Arabidopsis thaliana: one gene and its partner. The protein of the gene in region 2 interacts with the protein of the main gene of each other region in a pairwise test. Each region holds a gene or a part of one and is shown on either strand. Other genes may lie near its edges. The genes, in order: AT5G41650 and ERF-1.

Region 1 (3,446 bases), on a different chromosome or scaffold from region 2:
TCAACAAATATATAACCTTTGTGAAGACTACCATTTAATACTTGTATTTTAGAGTGCTATCAAATTTAACTATCTCCAAAACTATTTTTACTGTCCCGAAAGTATTTGAGGAAATGTATAAATATACTAAGTTACACGATTTGACCACCTAGTATTTTGTCATATTTGAAAGGGGCGATTCCATTCTTGCATTGCATGTCGAAATTTCAAAGATTAATCAATGAAAGTTAATAGATTTTACTTGGAAAAGAATTTTAAATTGCAAAATATCTCTAAGTAATTAAGCACTAGATGAAAGTGCATTGGTAATGTCCAACATTTAGGATTCGGTGCATAATTTTTGTTGTATTTGTTTGTAACCAACTACAAACATAATGGTCCCCAATTTATCATAATCTTGACAAGATCTTTGAAAAATCAACCCACTTCATAAAAATCAATATAAACCATATGGAGGCATGGACTAAAGTAGTAATGCTCCAAAACTTGAGGGCAGTTTTGTAAAATGCTGACCTAACAACATTTAGTCAACCCTTCAACAACTACAAAAGCACTAAACAAAACTCCATTAAGTCCACTTCAATAGATCTTGTCAATTTCAAAGCATTGTGTAGAAATGAATCCGTCACTTTCAGGATATTATATATAATGAATGGAAAAAAATTGACTTGAGAAAAGCTTACTAGAGAAACAATGTGAAGAGCAAGTTAAACATGAACCAATATAAAGTATAATAGTGGCTTAGGTTTCTAAGAAGTATACAATAGCTTCAAAGAGATTATGGATATGATCTCTAAACAAATCTACTCTATGCATAATTGGCTTCCTTTCAGGCTTCAATTCTATTCATTTGCTCATGCAGCCTCATAAAGGCCTAACATGTAACCATCAGGGCATTTCATAGCCGCAACCTAGTAAAACAAAAAAACAACCGCAAAAATACTTCAAATCCCATTTCAGCAAGTAAGTATGAAATGAAACTTGAACATCTTCATAAGAAATTGTAACCTTTCCATGTATCTCATACTTGATAGTGCCATCTAATTCAGCTCCTAAAGCCATAAGTTTAGTCACTGTTGTATTAATGTCAGTGACTGTGAACGATAGAAGCGATGAGTATCCCTTCTCAGCAACATGATTGCTGCGGAAAAAAGAAAGTCTTTGAGAGGTCTTCTCAGCGATAAACAGTGTAACACAAAAGTCCAAATCCGGAAGTTATTTTAAGGGAATAAACTCAGAAAGTTTTCATTGAGGCAAATGATCAAACAGGTTGTGTGCTTTGAGCAATAATGGAACAAAAGAGGAGATAAAACCTAGGAGATTGCATAAGAGCTAGCTTGATAGGACCAGAATGGAGCTCAGCCCAGCGTAAAGTGACGACATTGACGGAAAAGTCGAGACCTTGAGCATAGAATCGAGCAGCTTTTGGTACGTCTCTGTGAAGCTGCAGAATCCACCTAAACGACGCCGTCGCCATCTCTCTCTAGACGAAGACGAACGAGTGTAAAATAAAACACAATACAAAAAAAAGATTGGCCATTTGACCCAAAAAACAAAAACAAAAACAAAAAAAAGATTGGCCCAATACACATTATTGGGCTTCTTTCGGGCTCACCTCTAAATGGTACCGTGTCGCACTCTCTGCAATATAAACCAGATATGAGATAGCTATTGGTTTATTTGAAAAAAAGGAAAGAGAATTTTTGGGTTGTTAAGGCCCAAATAAAACCCATAAATCAGTGGACTGGATTAGATAATAGAGTGGACAATCCTAAATTGATTGTGTGGAACAAAAGCATGAGCCGCTTGGTTCAGACGATGTTGTTATGGCTCAAAAGCGAAAAGGTAAAACACAAAGGGATGAATTTGGGGACGTAATCTAATAAAATTGACCATAATTCTTAAACTTCTAGGGTTCCTTATTTCGGAACGACACATATACACAAGCTTTATGAGGGAGAGGACGATGTCGCTGCCAATTGAAACAAAGAGGCTTTGAATAATAATTTTCGTCATAAGTCAAAATTTTACGAAATGAGTGAAGAAATACAAGGTAATCTTCTTAGCTTCTTATATAATTAAGAGATTTGTTTTTAAATCGGTTACCAGATAGAGATTAATGATAACTTAAATGAATATCTTAGGGGTTCGATACTACAGAAGCGAGTGATGGTCCTGAACTTCAAAAATCCATCTGTGATAAAAGGTGGTCACCTTGTTGTACCTTAGTCCGCCTTTATGCTAGGATGGGTCTTCATCGTTACAATTTGTTGAAGGTAATTCTAAGTCAATACTCTTCTTCTCGATCTCTTTTTTGTTTGTCAATTGTTGTATTGCACCACAATTCATTTTTTTTTGTTTGATCATCATGGGAAGAATTTACAGCTTAGTCGTGTAAAGAAATACAATATGAGTACGCATTATGCTGCTTGTAATTACTACATAACTTTGGTTGCTATGGATCCAGCTCGCAGCAAACTTTTGAATTTTCAAACTAAAGTTGATGAAGAACGTTTTGGCAAGTTTATTTTGAAATTCCCTATTGCTAGACCTCGAGGAAAAATCACTTAGGATGGAGCTTTGATAACTGAATGCTATTTCTACGTCAAAGGTGATTTGCTTAAGTGTCCCTCGGAGGATATTTTCGAAAATAGAAAGCGATTTTACGTGGTGGAGGAATCAAAGCTGCAAGTCAATGACTGGATTCTTCTATATTTGGAAGTTGCAGTTGCCACAACTCATAGGAGCAATGGTAAATATCATGATCTCTCCGACTTGAAAATTTTTGAAAGTAGTGAAGATGTGGAGCCACCTAATGAGGTATCACTCAATGTCATTAATGTGATTGTCTACATAGTGTACAAGGACTTTTATGAGTCTCGGTTGGTAAGGATGTTGATCGCAAAGCTATTGTTAAACGAAGCTTCAATGAGCATAATGGACGCTTCATTGTCGAGGGTCGAAATAAGGTTATCAAATCCGATTTGGGTCTGGTCCGACATTTACGAGTGTCCTACGCAAAAACTTAATGACATGTCCTTTTCATATATTCCAGAAACATACTTAGTAATAAAAATAAAATCTACTAAGTACTAACCTTTAAATAACGGTTTAAAAATTCTAAAACAATGGAAAAGAACTACAAAAAAATGTTGCTTTGACAATATTTTAACAGCAAGCCAAAGCAAAAAGTATGATAGCAAGTGTTTTGTGTTCGTGAATATAAAATGTTAAAATTAGATTATATGAAATTGTGTGATTATTGTTTAACACAAATCAAAGCCAACATGTTGGATGAAGATGTTTGTTTTCATAGTTTAACAAAGCTAAGTAGCTAAAGAAAAAGTCGCTAACGATCTAGCGATTTAAAATTTCAAATTTAACTAATCATTGCATTTGCAACTTTTTTTCTTCTTTTCAAATTTCCAAATAAAAAAGTAAAACAA
Region 2 (4,003 bases):
TCTTTCTTGAAACACCATTTCTATTAAAAGTAGTTTTCTTATGCGGGGAAAATGGGATAGTTTTCTTAATCTTTCAACGTACCAACAAACTTTTAAAAGTATTCTTTGTTGCCAGAACAAAAGTATACCATCTTTGTCGAAGAACTCAATTGCAGTGGGAATGCACGTGTGGTTTTGTTTTCACGTACACAGATGTTTGTAGAAAGTTTGAAAATTCTTATGGTCAAAAGTCTCACACGACCGGATTTGGTCAATTTCAAAGCTGATGTGTCATAGACTCATTCACTCATATGCTTCCCCTCTTTCAAATGTATACCATTTTTTTTTGTTAAACTCAATAAATTATTAAGAGAAACTCAAACTATTAAGTATGTAAACTAATGTCTTATATATTCTAATTTTTTAACGTATCTTTGTTTTAACGTATCTTTTAAACTACAGATTCGGATGATTACGAAAATTAATAATTATGAATATTCAAATAAAATGGACAGTAATTCTTATATAAAAAATCCTTTTGTCAATAATCTAACCAATGATTCACTCCAAACTCATCTGACATCTCTATAGGCCCTTATTATGATTGGTATGTCCATTTTGGAAGTCGTCATGACTTATGAGCATAAAATGAATACATGAATACATGTTTTGCAGTTTTTTTTTGCTTCTTAAACAGTTGATGTCTTTAATTTGTTTCTTGTAAGTTTAAGATGTTATCTATTTATATACCTTGTTTCGAAATTTGATTGTCCCATTATGTTTCTGACGTGGAATTAAAACCCAATGAGAATGGGGTCCTCCTGTTAGATTTTCCAACAACGATAAGAATATAGAGGTTGATGTGATTTAAAACCAATAGAGGCAGCGCAATTGAGTAATCATCATCTTACCATCCTTCCTCGAAGTAGTCTTCATTGCAAGTTGGCAAAAGCGAGAGACCCACCCATTCACTTTTTAACTTTTAGTTTAGCTCGACATGAGAGAAATTATATTATGAACAACTATCTTTAGTTTAGCTCACATGACGGGGTTTTTTTTTTGAGAAAAGAAAATTTTGAATTTTTGGTTTATCATACAGGAACTATCTTTCTCCGGCGGGAATTTGGAAGTCATTATGCCCATTAAGGAGTCATAATATATATTTGTAGTTATTATTGTATCTGGTGTCAAACAAAAATTAATGTTAGTTGTACATTGTGAGATCTAAAACCTCGAGAGATGAAGTCTTAGTAATGTTTGAACAAACAATAATCACGTTTTCCATCAAATTCGAGCATTTAAAGTTTATATTACTACATGCCCCAAGATGATACCGTCCATCTCATCCGAAAATATTTCTGAAATTGCGCTAAGACAACAATGTTTGCTCAAATTCGATCATTTAAAGTTTACAAATCTCTCATCACTCTTACAAACTTCTCACACTAAACAGAGGTACATATTTTCTTATAAAGACAAAAGGTTCGAACAGCTGGCTTCTCAACTCGAGTTGTTTGTCAGGGCCTCTCTTCACTAACTACAAGTTGGTACTTCAAATATTGGTGGCTAGCTTCACGTGATATTGTCTACAAATTAAACCCATGAAAAAGCTGCATTAATTGTTCCAAGTGAACCCTGAGGAGTGTCAATAGTCTTTGCTTTAGTGTGATCATTAAACCAAATCTCTAAATTCCTAATTTGTACTAACATTTGGAACGTATTTCCTACTCTTCTCCCTGCTCCAACTCCCAAAAATAAGATTAGTTAGATTTCTATAACTAATATACATGTATACTCCCAAAAACAGTAAAACCATATTAATAAAGCTAATTTTGCATAGATTTATTTCGGTAAACCGGCGGTTCAAGTTGGGGAAAAAAAAGACAAACGGTCTAAAGTCATCCAAAGACAAAAAACCAAAGACAAGTTGAGAGAGACGAGACCAATCACAACATTGCTTCGTAGATTGCGTGACATCATCCTTGACGGCTACTTTCATTTGTGTCTTATTTGGATAAAACGCACGTGTTTAATTCACGAACCTTCATAGCAATAAGAAATTTCCATTACTTTCATATTTTCAACTTTTTTTATTACCCATTACATGCTTAAAATATTAATTCACAAGTCTTTGTCAAAATTCAATATTTTCCAGGTTCATGAACCCTTTTTATCTCAATCTACTCTATAATATCTCCCTATAAATTACAACAAAACCTCTTTATTTTTCATTCACACCGGACATTTTGAAATCTCAACAAGAACCAAACCAAACAACAAAAAAACATTCTTAATAATTATCTTTCTGTTATGTCGATGACGGCGGATTCTCAATCTGATTATGCTTTTCTTGAGTCCATACGACGACACTTACTAGGAGAATCGGAGCCGATACTCAGTGAGTCGACAGCGAGTTCGGTTACTCAATCTTGTGTAACCGGTCAGAGCATTAAACCGGTGTACGGACGAAACCCTAGCTTTAGCAAACTGTATCCTTGCTTCACCGAGAGCTGGGGAGATTTGCCGTTGAAAGAAAACGATTCTGAGGATATGTTAGTTTACGGTATCCTCAACGACGCCTTTCACGGCGGTTGGGAGCCGTCTTCTTCGTCTTCCGACGAAGATCGTAGCTCTTTCCCGAGTGTTAAGATCGAGACTCCGGAGAGTTTCGCGGCGGTGGATTCTGTTCCGGTCAAGAAGGAGAAGACGAGTCCTGTTTCGGCGGCGGTGACGGCGGCGAAGGGAAAGCATTATAGAGGAGTGAGACAAAGGCCGTGGGGGAAATTTGCGGCGGAGATTAGAGACCCGGCGAAGAACGGAGCTAGGGTTTGGTTAGGAACGTTTGAGACGGCGGAGGACGCGGCGTTGGCTTACGACAGAGCTGCTTTCAGGATGCGTGGTTCCCGCGCTTTGTTGAATTTTCCGTTGAGAGTTAATTCAGGAGAACCCGACCCGGTTCGAATCAAGTCCAAGAGATCTTCTTTTTCTTCTTCTAACGAGAACGGAGCTCCGAAGAAGAGGAGAACGGTGGCCGCCGGTGGTGGAATGGATAAGGGATTGACGGTGAAGTGCGAGGTTGTTGAAGTGGCACGTGGCGATCGTTTATTGGTTTTATAATTTTGATTTTTCTTTGTTGGATGATTATATGATTCTTCAAAAAAGAAGAACGTTAATAAAAAAATTCGTTTATTATTATATTTAACCTTCCAATCATTCCATTTATTAGTGGAATCAAACTTTTTTCTAAAGAAAACTATAACATTCGTAGAAAACAAATCATATTCCAATTACAAGTGGGATCATTTTTGTTTAGGAAAATGATAACATTTGTGAGAAAATTCAATTTTCTGAATTTTTAATACATAGTAGAAGAAGATATGTAGACAGATACATATGTACAACACATGAAATTTTTGACTTTCTGAAATAAATTAGTACAATCTTTGTTAATGCTTAAGCAAAAAACGTCACCACAGTTTTAATTAGTTGGTTCGTTAATAACTATTAGTGTTTTAAAATATTATTTTACAACTATTTTAAAATTTATCTGGTGTATTGTTGATGTTAACATTATATTTATTTTAGATGTATCAGTAGACAACCCAATTATTGGAGAAAAAGACAGTCAAATAACTAACAAAAAACAACAACTAAATCAAACAAAAACTGATATAAACATACGACCAAACAGGAGATTCTGATAGAAAGATAACAGCTACAAATAGTAAAGAGATAGTCCCAAGACAACCATAAATAGTATCTTCGACTCTGTGCTTCAAAGGAGCTAGAGAGAATCCGCTGCTGCTACTCTTACCTTGTGGGAGTTGCTGTTCAATATCATTCACAAAATCACATCCCAATCATATGTTTATTTATCCATCTCAGTGTGAAATATATGCAATTAAAAATGTATCACGATATATATATTCAGCTAAATTATCGATTAAAATTTATATATCTATCCACTTTTAAATTTCTTCAAACTCTTTCATGGAGGTTTAAAAGTCAGGAGATATATTTAGAT

What was found.
Region 1: the proteins of ERF-1 (region 2) and AT5G41650 interact in a two-hybrid assay, tested with the Arabidopsis thaliana proteins (one large-scale study listed by BioGRID).

What each region holds. Positions count from the first base shown.
Region 1 is NC_003076.8:16,652,987-16,656,432, reverse strand, and holds AT5G41650 (Lactoylglutathione lyase / glyoxalase I family protein), read right to left. Parts: upstream 1,521-3,446; 5' UTR 1,478-1,520; coding exon 1,314-1,477; intron 1,142-1,313; coding exon 1,009-1,141; intron 912-1,008; coding exon 855-911; 3' UTR 573-854; downstream 1-572. Other genes in the region: AT5G41640 (hypothetical protein (DUF626)), read left to right, coding at 1,798-1,845, 2,145-2,276, 2,386-2,431, 2,729-3,096.
Region 2 is NC_003075.7:9,757,116-9,761,118, forward strand, and holds ERF-1 (ethylene responsive element binding factor 1), read left to right. Parts: upstream 1-2,087; 5' UTR 2,088-2,289; coding exon 2,290-3,096; 3' UTR 3,097-3,276; downstream 3,277-4,003.